2 linked regions of the Drosophila melanogaster genome follow. The protein of the gene in region 1 interacts with the protein of each later gene in a pairwise test. Each region holds a gene or a part of one and is shown on either strand. Other genes may lie near its edges.

The links.
Region 2: the proteins of CG12253 (region 1) and Sas10 interact in a two-hybrid assay, tested with the Drosophila melanogaster proteins (one large-scale study listed by BioGRID).

Annotation. Positions count from the first base shown.
Region 1 is NT_033779.5:10,985,893-10,996,253, forward strand, and holds CG12253 (uncharacterized protein), read left to right. Parts: upstream 1-1,913; 5' UTR 1,914-1,942; coding exon 1,943-2,263; intron 2,264-2,393; coding exon 2,394-3,090; intron 3,091-3,156; coding exon 3,157-3,275; 3' UTR 3,276-3,349; downstream 3,350-10,361. Other genes in the region: piwi (P-element induced wimpy testis), read right to left, coding at 1-236, 1,357-1,440; TTLL4A (tubulin tyrosine ligase-like 4A), read left to right, coding at 4,293-4,891, 5,167-5,993, 6,078-6,428, 6,482-6,839, 6,906-7,030, 7,103-7,542, 7,611-7,781, 7,851-8,129.
Region 2 is NC_004354.4:5,310,592-5,324,072, reverse strand, and holds Sas10 (something about silencing 10), read right to left. Parts: upstream 6,665-13,481; 5' UTR 6,570-6,664; coding exon 5,283-6,569; 3' UTR 5,002-5,282; downstream 1-5,001. Other genes in the region: Mcm3 (minichromosome maintenance 3), read right to left, coding at 1-76; Rnp4F (RNA-binding protein 4F), read left to right, coding at 1,666-1,683, 1,746-2,254, 2,336-2,511, 2,570-3,514, 3,569-4,075, 4,140-4,260, 4,317-4,419, 4,491-4,937; CG15930 (uncharacterized protein), read left to right, coding at 6,791-6,973, 7,037-7,201, 7,267-7,797, 7,887-7,972, 8,039-8,615; CG4198 (uncharacterized protein), read right to left, coding at 9,141-9,861, 9,928-10,640; dhd (deadhead), read right to left, coding at 11,290-11,613; TrxT (thioredoxin T), read left to right, coding at 12,362-12,835. UniProt on the Drosophila melanogaster protein: Essential for gene silencing: has a role in the structure of silenced chromatin. May be involved in gene regulation during development. Binds RNA.

The sequences.
Region 1 (10,361 bases):
TTTAATCGGAAAAAGTTCGTCTGCAGCATGACCGGGACGCCATCGGTTCCCTTCTTGGATACCAGCTCAGCCGGACGGGTATTCAGGTAATCATATTGGTCACCCCACGGCTTTCGCTCTGTCGGGCCACCTTCACGCCTGGGAGCTTCCTCGAGAGCTCTTCTCTCTCTTGAAGCCTCTATACGAGGATCCGCTCTCGGGTCACCTGATGAAGATCCTCTGAATACTTTCACCCGCTGCATGAAAGCATTAAATGATGTAAGTTACTCATTTAAAAAAAATTATAATATTAGATATAGAGGACGCTGTCTCCTAATAGAAGTGAATGACTGCACACTAGCTCCACCTAGCGGCAGTTATGAATAATTGACGCCGATGGAAAAAATAACATAGAAGAAAGAGAGAGATCGTGCGAGATTCAGCAATAAACACGAGACAGCAATAAACACCAGAAAGACTCAACTTTGTACATTGAAAACAATCGCGATGAACAATCAAAAAGTATTACCTGTTTATTATTTATTATTAAAAGAAAAAATATTAAGGGGTTTAAACAAATAGTTGTGATTCCTAAATGTGAGCCATTTAAACAACTACCTAAAGTACGACAGATTTTAAATCATAAAACTAACGGTCAAGCTACGAAAATATTGTTACTCATAATCAAAGATGAAGCAGAAAAAAAATGGTAAAAAATAGTTTTTGTAGTATGCTTTGCCTGCAATTTCAGAGTATATCAATGCTGAAAGCCATCTCAAAGTTGTATAGAATTGGGATGAATATCGGAGAAATACCCGTTACTCGTAGAGTTTCTAGGAATCAAATGTATGTGACAGATAGAAGGAAGCGTTTCCGACCATGATTTTTGATGAGTATCACTAGCCGGGTCCATTTGGTCATGTCCGTCCATATCAACGTCGGGCATGCAGATTCCAAAGACATAGACTGCAAGGGTAAATAAGATTCGGCTTGCCACAGCCACCTTCCTGTCAGGTGATGGTTATTTTAGCAGTTTTTATTAAAAAAAAATAAATGAAACGAAACAGATAATGCTTTACATTTCCTTGGAAATTCAAATTGAAAGAAGCGTTTTTGGAAATATGTTTAATGAATTCCCTTTGAAAAAAGTGCTTGGTCAACAGAAATTCAAGAAGATTTTATGCAGTCAAGCTCAAATTCATAGCAGATTTTTGTTTGTTAGTTTTAGTGCTTCCTTTTGGTGTCGAATTCCGAAGAAATGCGCGCATTTACAATCTATGTACATGGCTGTGTTTGTGTTTGCGACATAACGGAATTATAAGGAATTTGCTTTACCGCTATGATTTTTTTTCCTAGCTTGAATAAGAGTTTACATACCGGCCCATCACCACTACCTCGGGAAGTAGAGGAATCATCTTCGTTAAGTGGACGCCTGCGTCCACGTCCCTGATCATCAGCCATTGTTACTTTTTGGCACTCGCGATCACTTAAAACTTCACAATGGAAACTGAAAGAGTACTTTGAAAACGACGCTTTGGACTCAGTGTGACCAAATGGCCAGATTTCAAAGATCGTTAAGCTTTTGGAATGTGTAGATATTAGTCTTCACAACTGAAAACAATCGCTTTTGCAAATCTTCGCAATAGGTTCTATTTCCCTAGTATTTATTTTTTGGTACTTCGAGCTTTGATTTCTTTCTGTTCTGTTTTTTTAAAAGTATAGAAATACATAAAAAAAAATTATTTAACTCCAAAAGTACATAACGTGCTTAAAAAAAATAAAAGTATTAATTTACTTACTTACATTTTTTTAATTAACAACATTTAAAAAGATTATTTTTAAAGTGTAAAGTTTCATCATAAAATTTCAATCGTTGCAAGAGCCTTAAATACCGCATGTACGTATGAGGTATTTTCTAATATATACAAAACAGCCACCCTGCTATGCAAGTAAACAAGTGAAAATGGAAGATATACAAAGATTTCAAAGGTCTCTAAAAGACTTTGATTATTTCAAAGACTTTCAATGTTTTCTGAATATCAAACACAATTCTCGAGCGCGGGCAACGCATATAAAGAAAAGGAACCCAAGATTTAATCCATTGACCGATCTAAATGAGCATAAATTTCGACTAAAGTACCGATACACTAAGGAAAACCTTCGCAGAATTATTGAAATTGTACGGGATGACTTGGAAATTGAATATTTTGAGCCGTTAAAGAGGGAGCAAGTTCCAATAGATTTGCAGATTCTATCCGCTATTCGCTTGTGGGGCGGCACAGAGGTACAGTAAACATTTCTGTATGCCAGACTCGCGAATTTGTATGTACATCAAAACCGTGTGAACTGGCTTTCAAAATTGCCCGCCAAAAATGAAAACTAAGATTTGTTACTAAATTTTTTTCTTATTTAAGCACCCCAAATTAACTGCAATGGCCCATGGCGTTAGTTTACGCACTTTGGCAAAAATAACTAGGCGCGTGGCATCTGTCCTATCATCGAAAGCTTCCAGGTATATCCGAATGCCGGCTACTCTATCGGAAAAGGAGCGATCTGGTTCGGCGTTTCAAGCAATTGCCAATATGCCGCAAGTCATTGGTGCTTTACTACAGACAACTGTGAGGTTTCAACCGGAAAACTGTGCCCCTGATCTGGATGGAGAGGAGCTTTTGCCCGCCCTTACCAGCCGGGAGGAGGAACTTCACATTCAGATTGTTTGCGATGCGGCTCATAAGATAAGGGACCTTGATATCCGACTGATCGATGAGCAGTCCATGCTCACCGACACCGAGATGTTCGGTCTGTCCAAAATAAAGGATCGATTCGAACAGAACGAGTTCCGGGGTCGTATTTTGCTGGGCAACGAAATGGTGCGCTGCTCCTCCTCCCTGTTCACACCGGTTCGATTCCCGAGGAACCAATCCGAGGAGCTGTATAACCACGCCCACGCGGTCACCTACGCATCGGCTAGAAAGTGTCTCAATCTGCTGATGAGTCGCTTCGGTATCCTTGCCACCGAAATCCAGGGTTCCCATGGATCTGCAAAGCAAACGATTACGGCGTTGGCCATACTCCACAACATGGCCATGGAGTGGGTCGATCCAAGCATTGGTAAGCTAACTAATGCTATAGATCCTAAAGTGCTCATTGTTTATTGGTTTTCATTTATCTTTTTAGATACGGAACAGAACATTTCACCCTTTAATTCCACTTTCTTCAATTCCATAGGAAGGTCACCAAAATCCGGAGATGACAACAATCGAAGACAATTCATTAAAACCCATTTTGCTTGCTAATAAATAAGAGTTCTTGCAAACAGAACCCATTACGAATACAATTTGTAACTTTCAGTATTAAAATTATTAAAAACAAACCTATGATGTCGATTTTCCTTACGTGTTTTTCCGATTCAAAACCAGGCTAAACGGGTAAAGTGAGCGATTAAAACGGTTTCTTCGGGAAGTCCCCTATCGGCCGAACAGCTGGTGCGTGCGCAATCGGTATCTATCGCGAGGTGGCAGTTTGAGGTGCTCACGCTGCCATCTCCAAACTGTGCACATGGATATTCTGTTCTTCAATAAAACAGTAGTTTAGTTTTTTGTTGTCATAGGCTGTGAAAAGTTTTAGTGAACGTTTAAGAATTTCACGCTTAACTGGAAGCTACCAAATAATCCAATATATTTATTAGACAAAATTGTGCATTTGCTATTAGTTATATTGTAGGTATATTGTGCCTCCGCAATCATTATGATTATAAAGGATGTGTGTTCGATTTGCATTTCAGTTTTTGCCTCCATTTTACATACATTTACACCTGGCGCATTTTTCGTGCTGGCAATGTAATCACACCGAGCTAGCTGACGACAAGTGCCAGTGACCTAGATTTTGGGAGTCCTGCGCTTGGGTAGAGTAACGACACCACCACCGCCACCGCAATCCTGCTCCGTGCCCGTTAATCCTTCCAGCTGCAGCAACAAAGTAAAGGTCACAAATCGCGAGGCAAGTAAGTTTTTGTACATATGACCTGGTTTACGGAGTGGCAGCTACGCTTGGTAGCCCAGGGTGATGGCGGGGTTAATCTATATTGTATATTCACCGCCAGAGTGGCATACTATGCATTCTGGCTTCTCTCTATCTATCCACCAGATATGATTAATCCGCATCCGTAAACTTACGTCCAAATCCGATCAGAAATCATTCACAGCATTTAAAACCTGTTTGTAGGCCTTTTTTTGGGTTAGCGGAGTCAGAGATCACATCGAGCTTAGTACGTACCCCTCAACAGATATATGACTGGGTGACCAGGATCTGACATGCGTAACAACAGCGGCTATCATATCCCAGCTAGCAACAGTCTGAACAACAATGGAGCCCCGGCGTCACGTTACTGCAATGCGGACAATACGTTTTGCTACTATAGCTACGATAACTGCAACCTGATCGCTCCAGCGTGGGGCAATCGCCAGAACCAGAATCAAAATTCAGTGCCCAACCAGAACCATAATCTGCCGACAAAGAGAATTCCCACCAAGCAATCGGCCAGATCAAGCTACCACCAATCGGCGGCCAATTCGGCGCCGGACTCATCACTGTTTACCGATGCATTTGGCCAGCAATCGTTGGTCAACCAGCGGATAGCTGGCAACAAGAGCTGCGAGTACGTCTATCAGACGGTACAGCGATCGGAGGATCAGCATTCCAATAGGCAGTACAAGCAGGCAAGGTCATATGCCGTAGACAAGGAGCAACAGCAGCAGATGTTGTTGCAGCCATCCATCGTATACTTTGATGCGGAGCTAAAGAAACGGAAAGACCGAGGGGGACGTGTGTCCAACGATTATGTGGACAATAGTCCGGACCGATATCGGCCACTCAATTCCCCCTCACCAGAGCCGACCTGGGATAACATACTGTAATTTATGCAAATGCCTTTTTGTTAATTGTCCTGCTTGTTGAAACTACATACCTCCAGTACACGCACACACACACGTATTTTGTTGTTGTTGTGTTCGAGTCTTAAAGTTACAATTTGGAAAACTACAGATAGATACCACACAACACTCTAGTTGCGAGTACATTAACAATATATCCACAGACACTCATTGAACATACATAGATGTGTAAACAATAAACAGTTTCCTTTGTTCCCCATGTTGTAAATAACCGCCTTCCATTCTCGTTTTTCAGCTCGGAACGCCCGGTCCAGTATCAGACGACAAACCAGCACTATCAGCACTATTTTTCGTACTTCTACAACCGTGGAGCGGAGAAACTGTCCAAGCCAACGTTTGCCGCTGCCAATAGCCGCAAAGTGCCAATGAGTAAATTTCAAAAGGCCGGCGCCAGTCGCAGGGATTCGCGAGAAGTCGATGGCACAGTTATCATTGGACGAAGGGACAATTCCGAGGACAGGACCTGGCAGGGTCAAAAGTATGAGAAGCACGTGCTAAAGGAAAAGCTCCCAAGCAATGATTTAAAAGCCGATTACCTAGACAATGGCTGGGGAGGAGACCCTGGAAGCGAAGATGACTACAGGGACATTAAAGATAGCTATGACCCCGTTGTTGTAATTGACAATGGGCTGGAGCAGGTCGGAGTACATCGGCGCTACTGCAGAATGACCGAAAATACGGTCCTGGATGGCTCCGGAGACACGCTTATTAATAACAACAATAATGAATTAAAGATTATGCGTAAGTCGACGGATCAGCCCATGCCACGGTTGCCCATGACGCCAAAGAGGGCCAAAGGTGGGACCGTGTCTACCAAAAAGCCAATGCCCACGGTTCACCGAGTCCTGCTGTACAGCACTCAGAGTCCACGGCTCGGCCGCAAGCAGCAGTTCAGCACCCAGCGGCTAAGTGTAAAGCAGCAGAGCTCCAAGGTACTGGGTGCAGGTGATGAAAGACAGACGGTCTTATTGCTGGAGCCGGAACACAAACAGGAAGATCACCGTAGTGCCATTGACTTCGATCGTAATGACGACTTCGACGAAGATGATGATCTCGACAATTGTAAGAATTGTTAACCTTAGATCTATTTTTTTTAATTAATTGATAATTAACTAATTTGTACTTCATTGTTTAACCAAATAATAGTATCAAATTTCGACGAAAGCGACACGGCGAGTGTTTTGTCAGACACTGAGGACGGTTATCGTGCCCATGCCTTCAAGCTTACCCACTCTGTGGATCGATTTTCATCGCCCCAAAGCACGCCCAGCTTCTTGTCTTCGCAGTCGTCTGAGGATGATCTGAAAAATCCGGATTCCCTTCTGGTTCCCAGTTTGTTTCCCTACGTGCCCCCTTATTTGTCTTTTTCGTCGAACACAAAAAGAGGTCCACGCGTGCCGCCGGATCTTCATCGCGTTTTGAAGTGGCGCATTACAAACATAATGCCAAAGGTAGTTCGTCTGATTCTGGCCAACAGCGGAATGCGAATGCTAAAGAGTGAGTTTCTACATAATAATCAGATATCAATTAATATGTATTTTCGCAAGTAGAAACCAACGACTGGATGGGCGTATGGGGAAAGCATTTAAAGTCACCGTGTTTTAAGGCCATTCGTTCGTATCAGAAAATTAATCACTTGCCCGGTTCATTTCGCATCGGCCGAAAGGATTCGTGCTGGAAGAATCTGCAAAGGCAGATGGGTAAGCACAGCAACAAGGAATTCGGGTTCATGCCACGCACATACATTATTCCCAATGATCTGGGAGCGCTGCGCCGGCACTGGCCGAAATATGCCCAGCGAAATACTAAGTGGATTATAAAGCCACCAGCTAGTGCTCGGGGTGCTGGCATCAGGGTTATCAACCGATGGGGCCAGATACCCAAGAGAAGGCCCCTTATCGTACAAAAGTATGTAGCATCTAAGGATCAAAAGCTTCGGAAACATAATAATTATTCCCGATTTGTTTTACATAGGTATATAGAGCGACCGCTTCTAATAAATGGTAGTAAATTTGATCTGCGTCTGTATGTCTTGGTTACATCAGTGAATCCCTTGCGAGTGTTCATGTACCACAACGGATTGGCACGGTTCGCTTCAGGTAAGTAAATATTTATCTAAAATCGAGTGAGCCGTATATTAACCCAAAGGAAACTATACTATGTATATTCAGTAAAGTACAGCGCTAAAACGGACACTTTGAATGATCGGTGTATGCATTTGACCAACTACAGCATCAATAAGTTTTCCTCGAACTATTCGAAGAACGAAGACGTCAATGCCTGCCACGGACATAAGTGGACTATCAAGTCGCTGTGGACGTATTTGGCGAATCGTGGAGTGCGTACCGACTGTCTGTGGGAGGCTCTGAGGAGTTTGGTGCTTCGGACAATTCTTGCTGGCGAGAATGGCATTAATAGCATGATTAGAGCAAATGTTGAATCAAAGTACAGCTGCTTCGAGCTATTCGGCTTCGATGTTATTCTGGACTCTGATCTTGTGCCTTGGCTGTTGGAAGTTAATATTTCGCCCAGTTTACACTCGGAACTGCCCCTAGATGCTCATGTTAAAGCGCCTTTAGTGCAGGGCGTTCTTAATACAGCGCTGTACAACGTAAGTGCTGGCATTTTACATATGAATTTAGAACGTATAACTATATATATGATGATACATATTTTAAGGTACCTCCAAAACTATCGCTTGATAAGCAAAAAGAACTGGCCGCAGAATTTTCCTTTCCTCCCGGCACACAAATGTGCTATGACAAGCGGCTTTACATTAACTACTTGTCGCGCGAGGAAAAGATCAAACATAACACATTTACCCGAAAGTCTATGGAAGACCGGAATGAGGTGAGGCGCAAATTTGATACTCCAAATGGATAGGTTGCTAATCATACTATAACATTTAATACAACACAGTATGTGGATGCGATCCTAAATAATCTGACCCCCGATGATGTGAGGTGCCTTATCATAGCCGAGGATGAACTAGCGCGATGTGCACCGCTGGAGCGCATCTTTCCAACTGATCAAACCCATAAGTACCTTAAATACAACGACACTCCGCGGTATTACAATCGCCTTTTGGATGCCTGGGAATCCCGCTACGCTAACAATCGCACAGAAGGGATAGCGTTGTTGCGCGATTATTGTCAAAACAAATATCATCTTCAAGTCCCAACTCCTCCAGCCAAAAAGGTGAGATCTTTATTCATCAATAGTGCAGAAGCTTTTCACAAGACCCATTTAAATGAATCGTAAACTATACAAAACAAATATGTAGGTCAGGATATTTTTTTTTTTAAATACTACAAGTATCTTAAGTTATTATCCTATTTTATTTATAATAAACCTAATTTGTGAAAGCAAGTGCATATTGCACTGCATTCTATACATACACTAAGTATTTGCCCACGTTTTAATTATTTTGTACACAAAAATACTGTTCTAAAAATCAGTTAAAATATTCATAAATTCTCGACTACTTTTGTTAAATTTTGAGGGCTGTTGGAGATTTATACAATCGTTCTTTTGGCGGTGCCGCGCTCTTTGCCATAGTAAGTCTTATCTGTTGACCACGCAGAGTCATCGTAAAATAAAATCTCGAATATTAGTAGATAGATGAAAACCAGTAAGCTTGTTATAATATTTGTACTGTCTTTATTTAAAATATATCCAGGACAACAAAGTGTATTTGTCATCTCTACCGGTTAACTACCATAACGTAAAAATCTTTTGTTTTCTTTACCAGTAATGCATAGGTAAATAACGAAGCTTAAATAAAATTACAAGTAGAGGGATGGTCAAATAGTGATGTTCTCTTTTGCCGACAGGCCCCATATGCATATAGTTATAAATCCAGATGTTCTATGTAATTGAAATGTTCCTATAGCAAATAACTTTTAACAGAAACTGCTCACCGAATCCATATGTATTTCATTGCATTGCGTTGCCTTCTTGTTTGTGTTTTTCTGTTCGACGTTACCATCACTATAATTTCTTTTTATGTCTCTGCGTATATGAAGTATGTTGAAGGTGATCACACTGCATATTCCTTACACCTGAGTCCAGAACAAGACTTTCTTCCAGCGTCAGGTGGGTCTTTAAATGGTAATATACCTCAATCGGCTGTCCATAACTAGCTTTTCCAACGCGCCGACCTCAAATCTTTCACAAAAAAAACAAAAAAAATAAAAAAAAATAACATTTTAATAAACATATTTACGCAAATTTTCCAACCCGGACCATCGCAAAGTAAACTGCGCCTGATGATTTATATCCATAGCGAATGTAGTGTGTTTTTGAAAGAAAATTTCCATATAATCATTATATTATAAGGTTTATAATTCCACGGACTTCTTACCTTTTTTTTTCGAACTCATTTGACCAATAGTTAACTCACAAAAATAATGTATAACAATGCTTATACCTTTTGTTAATATTGATTGGTTATGCAAAACATGTTTTTTCTCTCCATGTAGCGAAAAGCGTATAGTTAGAAATTTATCGTTCAACACAAATATGCAGAGAAAAACATTTTAAATATTCTCTTGTTACCACTTTTTGAGTTGCCCAATTTATAAAATATAAAAAAAATATCAAATAGCTTAAGTTTGAAAAATAAAAGTATTTTTGATAGAACATTTACAAAAAGAAAAACAAAAACAAAAAATTTTTTTTTTTGACATACGCAGTCAACCGTCTTATTATTTAAGTATACCTGCAAAGTTAGCTTTCGAAAAGTCATAAATACACTGAGCATTTTCTAAATGTTTTGCCATCTTGAACAATCACTCATTTAGTGGAAATCAACATTTGAATATTGCTGCTACAGAAAAACAACTCAATACTCGTTTATTATTTGTATATTTATCCAAAACATCCCCTCATTTTGATACCGTGCAAATCATGTCAATGTAATTCTTTTCTTTTCAATTTATAAAGAGTTAAACGAGTTTTTTATTGTCTAATTGTTGATGCAATTAAATCAATTTGTTTTGCTGTAATTGTAAATTTGCAGGATTACTTCATCAAGTTTATGAGATGGATTTTAAAGTGACAGTCGCTGCCATCGTATTATTGGTAGTCATTATTGTTATTGTTAGTGCAATTACCTTAGTCTTAATAACACATGTATATATTTGATATTTAATATTAATAAATTCAGATGTACTTGCAAATAGGCTATTCAAATACTTAAATCAAAATGTACTCTGTTGGGACATTACCAAAATTGCATAATTCGTAACTAAATTGTGATCTTTTTTTTTATAATAGATTGGACTAGTGTTATTGCTAATACTGAACTTAATATATAGTTCTTAGTAATCAGTAAATATGTTGTTATTGATTAATTATAGTGAACTGCCAATTATTTAAATCAACAATAAATGAGCTGTTTACAAAGTCAAAAAATAATAAACTCCAATC
Region 2 (13,481 bases), on another chromosome or scaffold:
GATCCTCCTCGTCGTCCAGAAAGTCCACATACTCGCGTTGTATGTCCTTGATGAACTGCTCCCCCTCGTGGGCCATTCTGTGACTTAAGCTGTACACTGGAGTTCACAAAACTTCTTTCGATTTCGCTTATGGATCAACTTCGATCCGTTCGGAGGCAAACGCAAATGCAAACAAAACTAATGTCGCAAATTGCACGCCGAATGCAAAGTTTTTTCGCGGGAAAAGCGTAGTGTGACCATACTGTGGGCATTTGAAGACTGGTTGCGCGGGCAAAATATATATGCTATAATTATTTCCTTTTTTTATATATTTACATATAATTATTAACTTTATTATATAAAACATAGTGGACATAGCAAACTAACTAATATAAGCAAATATACGTTGATATGCAAATTTATAATTAAAACGTTTCCACCGAACATCTGACTTAATTTGTAATGCATACAATATAGAAAACTATCAAATAATTCCTATAATAGTAGTATATATTTATTATCTGCCTAATTAATATCTACATTTAATCCATTGCTATAATAGTAAAATATATTTATTATTTGCTAAATTACTGTCCACACTTAATACATTCCTATAATATATACAATATATGTATTATGTGCCTAATTACTGTTTAAACTTAATCCATTCTTATAATAGTATTATATATTTATTATTTGCTTAATTATTATATAATATATAATATTATTACACTTAAACCATTCTTATAATAGTATAATATTTGTATTTATTATTTGCCTAATTATTATTATATTATTATTACTATATCCTATAATATATACAATATATGTATTATATGACTTATTACTGTTTACACCTAATCAATTCCTATTATAGTATTATAGTATATAGTAATATATTTATTATTTGCTTAATTACTGTCCACACTTAATCCATTCATATAATGGTATAATATTTTTATTATTTGCCTGAGTACTGTCTACACTTAATCCATTTATGATGTGGCTGCGTATTAAATAGTTTATTATTATTAAATAGTTTGTGTAAAAGAAACAGAAATTGTTTACATTTTATGATACATATATATATAGCACTTAAGTAAAATAAATTCCATTTTTATTTATTTCTATAAAATATATATATGTTTAAAATAAATTATATTTCTTGGTAGGATTTAGTTTATCATTTGACTTTGCTATACATTTCTGACCGCCCAAAGAAACCAGTTAATATTGACCACATATTACCGAAATTAGTCTTCAAATTGCTCATCACGAGTCTTCACTGCACTGCTGGTAACACAGCCATTGTCTGGACTGCCGCAACTATCGAGTGCGCACAGCTATCGATATTACGCACTGGTCACACTGTTATAACGAAAAAAAAATTCGCATATTATTCACACTTTACCGGTGTTTCTTGACAGAAAATGATAAGTTTTCGTTAACCGAATTCTCAGAAAGTAAGTGCTTGGAAAGTTTTTCCAAGAAAAAGTGCCCAATAGGGAAACCAAACCTGAAACCAAATAATTTTCCACGATAAGCGCAACAACGCGATATTAGATTGGCCAGCCCTGCGTTTGCGGTTTTTTTTTTGTTTTTTTATTTCCTGTATTTTTTTTGGGGGGGAAAAATTGCAGTTCCACGGAAAGCGAAAAGTTTTCCACCAAAATAAACGGTTGAAGCATGGACGCCGACAAGCAGGTGAGTGTCAGATTATAGCTCCAATAGGCGCCGCCCTTATGCGTATGCCCAATATATTGCAGCTGGAAAGGCAGCTGGAGAAGGAGCTGGACGAGATGCCGGCAGAGGATTTGGACGACGATGCGTATGACGAGTATGATCTGATCGTGATACCCGATCAGGGCAAGGGCTCGCCGCAGCAGGGGCACAGTGAGTCGCCGCAGCAGGAGGAGGAGCACAAGTCGGAGGAGCTGCGCCAACGATCGCGCCCAACCTGGCCACCGTCGTCCGCCGGCGGGGATATGACCACCATTGAGTTGATCTCATCGGACGACGAGCCGTCAGTGGAGGAGACTGAGGGAGGCAATGCCGCTGGCCGTGGCAGAGCGCGCAATGATTCCAGCAGCAGTAGCGATGATGTGGGCGTGATCGAAGGCTCGGAATTGGAATCGAACAGTGAGGTGTCCAGTGACAGTGACAGTGATAGCGACAACGCTGGCGGCGGAAATCAGCTAGAGCGCTCGTATCAGGAGCTGAATGCGTTGCCCAGCAAAAAGTTTGCCCAAATGGTCTCGCTCATTGGAATCGCATTGTGAGTTTGCCTGCTTCTCCCACTCCCATTTTCCATTTTTTCAATATCGGCATTAGCTAATGTTGATGCTCGTTAATGCAGCAAACTGAATGATCTGGAAAAGATCGAGTCATCGGTGCTGGAGCTGCAAAATTTGGCCACTGTGCCGGCTCACGTGTGGCTGAAGTATCTAAAGGCCCGCCTGGTCGTCACCCAAACGGACGAGGAGCGCAAGGCATTCGAGGAGCAGTGTGCCAAAGCGTTGGGCTACTACTACAGTATGCGATAGATAGAATCCATTCGTAGTTAAACCAATTGACGAGTTACATATTGCAGGCATACCGCTGTCCGAATACGTTGTCAACTACCTGGTGGATCAGGGCAACGTACAGAACCATGTGCTGTGGGCCAAACTGCTGGCGGACTACGACGTGGAGCGTCCAGACTTTGGCGACAAGCTGCGTTCGCTGATATCGACAATTACGGACGAAAATGAGGCTGCCGCCTTTGTGGAAATGCTGCAAAAGCACTGCGTCACCTGGACGTGCAACGTGGAGCAGCGGCAGATGATCAAGTCCGTTGTGGACAAGTTTAAGCAACATCTGGACGAGACAACGCGTGGTTGGGATTGGTCTGAGCAACACAAGGCTCATGTCTACGATGTGGAGACATTATCCCTTGACGATGACCTCAAAAACGCTGTGATCCGTTTCATATTCGAACGCTCGGTGGCCAAGTTTCCCATTGTCGATGTGCTCTGGTTATCCTACATTGAGTTCATTCAGTTCGAAGGCGTCACTGTGCCGGAGAATGAGGATGAGAATGAGGTAACCGCCGAAATGGTAGCCAAACGGGCCAAACGCTTGGGCAAAGGTTTTCTGCGCAACACGGAACTCGATTTGGCCAATCGTGGTGTGCGCAGTCATCCCAGTGTACAATTGAATCATCGTTTCCTCGACCTAATGGAGCGCTCGGACTTTGAGTTGGCGGAAGTGGATGAAGAGATACGTCTCATATTGCAGCGCATTGTGACCGACATGGATATGACCGTGGAGCTGCATCTGGACTATCTGGCCTATCGTATTCGCAACACCAATGCCAGCGATGAGCAGCAGGTCGCCAGTCTGCGTGCCGCCTTCAATCATGCTTGGGAGGAGCTAACCGTGCTCTACGGCGACCAGGCGGACACCAGGTACGAGGTGCTGCAGTTGTGGGCCCAAGTTGAGTACACGCAACTGGGGAGTCCGGACAATGGCCGTGAGATTTGGCGCCAAATAATGGGTGAGCGCTTTGAAATATGATTGCATAAGCAATGTTTTAACTACTCATCTTTAGGCTATCCGGGCAGCTCGATACGCGGCCTGCTCTGGCTGAACTTTGCCCAGATGGAAAGCGAATACAATGGTGGCCACGGCACACGCGATGTCCTTCGCAAAGCTCTCTCGCAGCCCGTCCTCGAGAATGGCCTTATGGTGCAGGAGTTTTTTCGCCGCTATGAACGTTGCTATGGCACCTACGAGTCCATTGCCGCCTGCCAGGCCCTCGATCTGCCTGTCGAGTATGTGAAGCCGCGTTCCCGCATTAAGCCCAACTCACAGTCGGCTTATCCTCGCCAGCAGAAGCTTAAGCCGCGCCAGCAGCAGCAACAAACGAATCGTGAGCCACTGAATCGCGAGCAGCGACGTCGCCAGGCGCATGAGCAACAACAGCAACAGCAGCAGCAGCAGAAGCATGGCATTAAGAAGTCCAGAACCGAGCCATCTGGTGGAGCTACGTCACCGCCATCGAAAGTCAAGGGGCCAGCGAATGCAGAGGCCAAGGAATCGAACTTTAAGTATTCGCGTGAGTCGCCATGCCGTTTGGACACATGCGTTTCAAGGACTTACATTAGTTGTCTCTCTTCTAGCCAACATGGAAATCAATAAGATCTTTGTAAGAAATCTGCATCCCGCTTGCAGCAAGGAGGAGCTGCACGAACTCTTCTCGCCTTTCGGCACCATCAAAGATGTGCGCCTGGTGCACAAGCTGTGAGTGCGAGATTACAATTACAATTATTGATTTTAAACTATTTGATCCTCTACAGAAACAAGCAGTTCAAGGGCATTGCATACGTTGAGTTCGAGAAGCCGGGCGAGGCGCAACGAGCAGTGGCTGGACGAGATGGTTGTCTATTCAAGGGCATGAATGTAAGCGAATGATGTGTGCCTTCATGTTTAACCGAACCAACCAAAGCAAATGCATTTCACAACTCTTTCAGATCTCTGTGGCCATTTCAAACCCACCGCCGAGGGGCACATCAGCTGTCAAGCCAAGTGTGGCGCCCAAGCGACGTGTGCCCACCTCGCTTATACCCACGACTCTGGTGCGCCAAGAGGTGGCTGCCAAGAAGCTGCGCTTGCTTCTGCCCGAGCCGGGGGACATATCATCCACTTCGGCATCCGTCGACGTGGCCATCAAGCGCGAGGCTAATGGAGAGGAGCAAAAAGGAGATGTTCAAGAACGAGATGAGCAAAAAGGAGAGGAGCAAAAAGGAGAGGAGCAAAAAGGAGAGGAGCCAAAAGGAGAGGAGCAAAAAGGAGATGATCAAATAGGAGAGGAGCAAAGTGGAGTGGAGCAAAAGGGAGATGAGAAAAAAGAAGAGGAGATGCCAGCTGCTGTGCCCAAGTCAAACGATGACTTTCGCAAGCTATTTCTCAAGGATTAGGCGACAAATGCCGGCGGCTGAGCCCGGTGCCAGCGGCCATGGTTTAGTTTGTAAGACGAAGACGAAGATTTGGAGCATATATTTTTTTAGATTTAAGGCAACCTAAACAGACAAGGTTGGAGAACACTGTACAAAGAGAAAAACTGTTGTAAGACAATGATTTTTGTTTCGACTCATATAAATTGGTTTCTTGATGAACCAAGTGAAGAAAAATGTTTGTTTGTTTCGCATATGACAGCTAGTTGACTAATCCCCGGTGAGTCTTTGGATGAAATGGGTGTTTCAAGTGTACAAACATCGAGTTGATTAAAATGTAATGATCTTGGCGGATTTATTGGATAAAAACTAGGTGCGGAACTTGACGCTCTTCGTGACGCCGGCCTTGATGCCGGACAATTCGCCGCCGTAGCGCTGCAGCTCCTTGCGCACCGTGCGCACGGCTCCCTTGCGCCGGATGAGCGCCTTTCGGTATTTGCCGCGATGCTTAACGCGCGGATTGCGCAGCTCCTTTTTGCGGTGCGGCGTGAGGCCCTTGTTCTTGGCCATCTGATAGGTGATGCCGCGTCGCGCATCCTCCTCTTCCTCCTCCTCACCAGCCTCCTCTTGCAGATCCTTCTCCTTACTCTCAGCATCGTCATCGTCATCATTATCATCATCATCGGAGCTCACTGACGCCTGCTGGCCATCGTTGTACTTGTTGAGTATCTGCAGCTTAGCCTTGCGCTGTGCCACATCCAGCACGGTGAATGCATCGCCATCTTCAATCCTCTCCAGCAGCGCCTCCAGCTGCGGTCGAATGTATTCCTCGTAGCGCGGCTTAAGCTCCTCGATCAGATCCTTGAGTTGCACCAGCCGCCTAATCACCGGATGGGCCTTGACGTCGATGCGACGTGCCTTGAGCAGCAGATAGAAAGCCACATTGGAGCAGTAGGTGGTGAGCACGGTGTGGCAGAGTCCGGCATATTGCAGCGCCGGCACCATGGGCACATCGTGTTTGCGAACGTAGTTGAGCACCGGTTTCAATAGGTTCTTCACCTCGTCGAGATGCTGTTGAAAATCCTGGGTGAGAATGATGAACTCCGGCGACTCACTGTGCATCAGCTGTCGTCGCTCGCGTTCTGATAGGCCGGCCAGATCGCTGGTCACTTTGGTTATATGGCTCAGCTCGTTGTCATCACTGCTGCCTGCGGGCGCTGCTTCTACATTGTCCAGCTGGAAATCGGCCTCGCTCATGCGCTTGGCCAGACGCAGCTGGATCTTTTTGGCCTCCTCCTCCTCGGCGCGTGCCTGCTCCTCCTCCTGGGCATTGTAGCTGCTGTAGTCCTGGTCCACAAAGTCGGTGTTGTAGTACGTGCTCCGTTTGCTGCCCCAGTCCATGGTGTTGGGCAGATCGCGGTCATCGTCTTCGGCGCCCTCGATGTCACTGTCGCGCATCAGTTCCGCCACATCCTGCTGCTCCTCCTCGTCGTCGTCGTCGTCGTCGTCGTCATCATCACTGAAACCGAGCACTTCCTGGACGGGATCATGTGGCTTTTTGCGCTGCTTGCGCAGATCTTCGAGTATTTCGCGCTCCTCGTCATCGTACTCCTGGTCGGAGCCGCTCATCACGTAGTCGTCACCGTCGCTGTCCATTTGCTAGCTGCTCTCTGTGCGTTTAAATACAAATTAAAACTAAATTAAATCAAACACAACACGTGCGTAAACAAACGGCTCGATAACACGTTCGATAGCCGCCAATGACCGATTGGTGTGGTGGATTTCGCGGATGGCGCATTTGCCATCTCTAGCGTCTAGCTTACGGCGGTGATGCCACATGGGAAAAGTTCCACAATTGAAATTCAGTTAAAATCAGGATGCAAAGCAAGATGGACGTCAAAGAAGGAAGACTTCAAACTTTGCTCTCGAAATTGAGAAAAATTTCGGAAGAAGCCGAGGATAACAATGATGTGCCGCTCGATTTGCGCTGCCCCAGTGCCAAAATGCGGAATAACAAAGTGTTAGCCGATTTGAGTGACATGCTAAAAGTTGTCGAAGATGTACGTAAATTCAAATTACACATGTATGCTTAGTTAATACTAATAAGTAATTTCCTCTAAAAGATCGCTTTGGAGGAAAAAACTACCGATTCCAAGAAGCCGGCTAATTCTGAACAGCAGATCAATGGAACAATTGAATTAGCACTCGATTTGCGCCAGCCCAATGCCAAAATACGGCTTGTGATTTCCGATTCGAGTGACTTGCAAAAAGTTTTCGAAAAAGCACATGTGCGTCGAAATATATACATATATGTATTGTAGAAATTACTAATAAGTTTTTCGCCCCTTAAAAGATCGCTCTCGAGTTAAAAACAACCGATTCCAAGCCGACGGCTGAGACTGACGACCAGCACCATGTGCGAATTTTCGATAAGATGCTTTGCAACATCGTTGTGCCGCCGGATGTAGCCGATGTCCAGGTGAATGGAAAGCCATTGGAGCAGTTGTTAGCCACCGTGTCGGAGCGCCAGGCAATGAACAATCCTGGCCCAATGAAGATGCATGAACTGCACACCGGCAATGCTGACTTCATGAATAGCAATAGCCAAGTGGCAGAAGCTGCTGCGTCAGTGGAAACACTGCTAGCGTCGACATCGGACAACGATAGCGACAGCGATGGACTCGAATCAAAAACGACGGATGGTTACATTGTCAAGGAACTGATACCGTCGTTTTCCGATTTCCCGGATATCGGTGATGTTAGTTTGTGTGCACTGATGTATGGACTGCCCATGGATGCCGTTGGCATGCACTGGAAGCTGCCGCCGCAGCGTATCCAGGATATCTGCAAGGAGGACTCTATCTTCCCGATCATCATGAGCTGTGTGAGTGCGCTTTGGTCCCGTGCCAAGCAAAGAGACAGCTTTGAAATAGGAGTTCAATCTTTTTTTTTTTGTTTTTTTTTCTTGCGCAGGTGTTCTCTCCGTGTGAGTTCTGGTTCCACATTGTGCCACCGCAGTACGCCAAGAATCCTGTAGCCGAGATGACCATTGATCTAAAGTAAGCTACTAACTAAATCGATTGATTGACTGATTGATTGATAATATTGTTATTTAATGCCCATAGCTGGTTCTATCGCCATACGACGATCAGCAGCTACCGTGCCGAGTTGCCTAGCTATTTCTATAAAGAGGGCTACATATGCGCCGCCTACAGCGAGTGTGGCTGGCGACGTGCCATGGTGCTCGTCACCGCACCGTTGGACGCCCAATGTGTGAACATAGAGTATGTGGATCATGCCCTGTCTGTCACATTGGCACCGAACCATCTACGATTCCTCCCACTAAGCTTTGCGCGCACACCGCCATTGGTATTTCGCGGCAAAATGTCGCACGTACGCCCATTGGCCAATGGGTGGCCAAAAAATGGTATCACCGCATTCCAGCGCATGACATTCAATAGGGTATTGTATGCCCATGTCGGCGAACTGGATACCGCTCAGGGTATATTCTCTATGCGGCTATCGTATGATGAAACTTTTGTGCCCACCATCAACGATCTAATCGAGTCGCGGATCAAGTTGGAGTCCTGTTGCTATGCGCCCGAACTGCAGCCTTTTGGGATGGTCGAGCCGCTAATTATGCCGCTGCACGATTATGATGATGATGATGATGATGATGATGATTTCGCATTCGTTCCATAGGGATTACCATGTGCCCAAGGCGCTGAATCCATTTCAAAATAAAAATGAATGACGCACTTCTAGTGGGCAACCAGGAGCAGAAGCAGAAGCAGGAGCAGGAATGATGAAAACAGGACAAAACCAGACGACGGAACATACATAAATCATCAAGCTGGCATGTTTGCCAATCATTTATCTCAGGGATGAACTGCATCATTTGAAAAGTGTAACTTGAACATGAAATTGCTGTTTGTTTTTTTTTTTCTTTTTTTTTTTTTATTATTATTTGTGAAATGTAATACCATACCCATAATTTTATTACCAAATAAAGATGCGAAAAGGTTGCCAGCCAAGTGCACGTGCACAACTTCTGGACAGGATGGGCCGGGAATTCTAAGCCAAAACTAGCGTAGCATGCCAAATAAGTGAACTTTGCAGGCGCTGCAGACTTGCCTGGTTGGTTGGTTGGATGGTTTGGATTTCCATACCGAATTGCAGTAAAAAAAATAGATGTGTGCTGCAGTGCGTCTGCCGCTCGTCGGCTGGCTAGAAGGGCTCCTCCTGCGCCTGTGTGGCAGCATCACTCGGCTGCTCGGCGAACATGCGCTGTCGACGGCACACAGTTGGCGTTGGCATATCGTCCGCATTGCTAATGGAATCGCAATCGTAGTGACTGGGCACCTCGGGTGGCGGAGCATCGGCATAGTCGGTTGGGATGTCGGAAGCGGCGCCGAACCACGACAGCATCATTGAGACCTCATGCCACCTACTCGAATTGGACTGCGAATCCAGCTGCAGTTCATCGTTTAGCGGCGGCGGCACCGTTCCACTTGGCTGATGCGATCCAATGGTGGACGATTGGGCGCCACCAACAACCCGAACCCAATTGCTGCCGCTGGCCAGCGGAGATAGGTGCGTCTTTCGATACGAATCAATGGAGCTTTTGACTCGACGCATATCCAGCGGTGATGTGGCTGCCAATGTGGATCTTTCCTTGTTCAGCGTCACCAGGCAGGACTGCCGCTCCGGCTCCTCATCCGCGTCGCCATCACGCCGATGGCGTGTGTATTCCAGCTCCTCCTCACCATCCAGATCCTCGTCCATCGATTGCGCCAGACAGTCGTTCGAATGGAAGCTTTGCTCCGAGTACGACTGCCCCTCGCATTCCATCTGCAAATGATCGCCCTGCTCCGTCGATCGCTCACTGGTCACCGCCAGCAGTTCCTGCTGTTGTTGGCAATTGTCCGTGTATTCATGCCTGGGCCTGCTGGCCAAAACAAAAAAACAAACAAAGGTGAACATAACCCCACAATTCTCTAGAAGATTTACATACCTTGTGACCGGCTGCTGCGCTATGGACACCTGGTAGGAATTGGATGACGGTGCCGCCGGTGATGCTACTGTCGCCGCCAACGCTTGCTGCTGTTCATGTCTGCGCTGGCGTTGGATGAGCATGCGTTGGATATTCTGTCGCGACTGATCGTTGCCATAGGAGATGCGCTTGGCGGCCAAGTCGCGACGCTCCACGGCCGCCCGGCGTGCATCGTTCGCCGCCTGCAGCTTGGCCGTCATCCGGAGTTCGCTGCGCAGGAAACCGCCGGTGCCGGCCTCGGCCATTAGGCCATTCCGACGCGAGATCTCCTGGCCCAGTTGGCGTGCGCGTGCCAGCGTCTCTATGCGCTGTTTGTGCATCCGCTGCTGGGGCGTGCTGCTAGCCAGCGTGATAGCACCGTGTGCCTGTTGCCGTCTCCGGCGGGTAACGCGTCCGCCGGCTAAACCAAACGATTGGTCAACATTCGATGGCGATGATGCCGTCGATGTGCCGCCACCGCTGGCGCCACCGGCCGCCCCGCCAGCCACCTTAATTACCTCGATCTCGCGAAATAGCCGCTTTAATCGCACCTGTCGCATCTTCATTTCGATGGTGCGATCGTTGAACTCCTGGATGCGCTCGTACTCATCACGCAGACGCTGCAGTTGGCCATTCTTCTTGCTCTCGTTGAACATGCGACGAAAGTAGGGCGTCGATTTGATCTGATACGACATGATGGTGTGGTTTCTACTCTACCACGGATTATGGATTGGATTTACACGAAATTTGATTTTTATTTACTAACGAAATCCGTACAATTTGGATGCGACCGAAATGTGCGTTTTGGATTTGATTGAATTTGTGCTGCGGAATGTTTGGGATTTTTTGTTTTTCGTGTGTGTGATCTCAAGTTTGGTTAGCAAATGCCAAATGTTGCTGGAACCCGAAATGACATGACCACGCAGCGCCTACTTGGTTAACAATCCAAATGCTGTGGGCAAAAAAAAAACAAAGCTGATTCCATGTTAACATTTAAATGTCCAGAGTGGTTACAATAATTTATTGATCGAATTGCTTCTTAGTGCCTGAATCTTAAAGCTAAATGGGCGGGATTATGTGTCGCAGACACGCCTCCGCGCCACAAATCATAGCATATAAGTAGTAGTAGTAGCATAGCATATATCATCTGGTCACTGCTGTTGGCTGCACTGCATCTCCTGCTACCCACATCTCGCGCTTACAAGCTAAACATCACATGAGCATACACATAACATCGAATACATAAACGAACACAAATGAGGCGAACATGTTTAAAAGATGAGTTAAATAAGTAAAAAAAAAAAGATGCGCTGCTGATTGCTAATTGCTGGGCAGGATTGCTGCTTACGCCTTCACCAGCTTGGCCATCATGTTGGTCAGCTTGTGCTCGTCGGCGCCGGCAAAGGAGGCCAAGCGTCGATTTTGGCGCAAAAAGACAAACGTTGGCATGCTGCGCACCTTGTAGCGCTCCGTCAGCTCCTCGAATTTGTCCACATCGATCTTGAGCACCACCGCCTTGCTGGAGTATTTTCTGGCCAGCGATTTGACGGTGCTCTCCATTTCCTTGCAGGGACCACACCATGTCGCATAGAAATCCAGCACGATTAGCTTGTCGTCGGCCGCCTCGATGCGCTTGTGATAGTCGTTCATGGTGCGTACGGATGCCATTTTTATGTCGCGAGGATTAGCAAAGTGTTTTTCTTCTTTTTTTTAAATTAAAGAACTTGACGTGATGGGGCTGTTGGCGCTTTCGCTGCAAATTGTGAACTGATTGAAATGGCGGCTGCGTAGGCGACTTTATAGGGGTCTCCAAGTGGCGGTGTGTAGAGTGGAATTCCCGCCAATTTGCATGCTGAATTCTCGCGTGGCCGCTAAACAAAATGGCGGCCCATGGAGAGTGCAAAATGGCGGGCGTGTTAGGGTTGCCAGGTCGTTGGGAAAGCCAACCGAGTGTGTTGGGGGGTGGGGAACATACTTATTCACCACGGCAGGTCTATCGATATCGATATGAATATTATTATCGTAATTATGGCAAAATAATGGCGTCACACGACATAGTACTAATATTTTCCTCGAGTGTTGCCATAGCCGTGGTAGGTTCGAAGCCAAACTCACCTCAACACACCGCGCCGCTGACATTTGAAAACACTTTTTTTTCAATCCAAGAAGGCCGCAAAATATTTGGCGAAAACTGTATAAAAGAACGCCTGCCGCCCTACAATTTTCATTTCGGGCTGATATCTCGGCGAGGGCAGAGCTCCATTAAAATTCAAAAGTAACAAAACAAATCAAGTGAATTTTACACCCAAAACAAGATTTTCTAACATTTTCCTTTTTTTTTTCTTTCTTCTCTTCCCATTTTTTTTTTTTTTTGTTTCGTTTCGATTTGCAATCCGTTTGGAATTTAGTTAAAGTCATGGTGTACCCAGTGCGGAACAAGGACGATCTTGACCAGCAGCTAATCCTCGCCGAGGACAAGCTGGTGGTAATTGATTTTTATGCAGACTGGTGCGGACCTTGCAAGATAATAGCACCCAAGCTGGACGAACTGGCGCAGCAGTACTCGGACCGTGTCGTCGTACTCAAGGTGAACGTGGACGAGAACGAGGACATTACGGTCGAATACAATGTGAATAGCATGCCCACTTTTGTGTTCATCAAGGGCGGCAATGTGCTGGAGCTCTTCGTTGGCTGCAATTCCGATAAGCTGGCCAAATTGATGGAGAAGCATGCCGGCGTTTATACCGATGAAGCGGCCGACGTTAAGGCCGTCCATATCGATGGCGAATGCATTGTCGATCTGACCGCCGAGTCCAGTGAAAGCGACAACGACAACAACAACGTTAATGAGGTGTCCGCCCACGACGAGAATGCCGTTCTGGAGCACTAGGCAAAAGTACCATTACACTCCGAACATAACGACAACATATGTATGTAAGTACGATTGCCGGAGTGCAAGCATTGTGGTCACATAACCGATTCCCTGCTCCTTCTCCTGCAGCTCATCATTCAACAGACGTAACGGAAGAAAGCAATAGATATATATATATATATATACATAGACACACACACACACACACACACACACTTATCGATGTATATATATATATATATATATATAATACACACACTTATCCCAGATTTATTATGCACACTCATAATACTCATCATTTGTGGTGCCTAAAGTATGATGATTGCATTACAATTGTAAGCCTGATGATGTTGTTACGGCGGAGGAGGACTACGTCGCTGAACGATTCTACATATAGCAAACATTTTGGGAATCCGAGGACTTGTGGGACTTACTCAACACACGCTCCCGCACACCAAACTGATGTTGATTTTGCAGCGAGCTTGATACACCATGCAGACTGAGCAAAGGGACGCTATATATATATATATATATACTACTATACACCATATACTATACACTAAATGGAAATATGTACAATCGACCGACATAAATAATACGCATTACTAGCTGTTAGTTATAAGTTTGCAGACAAACAAATAGATCTACACAATAAACAATCAAC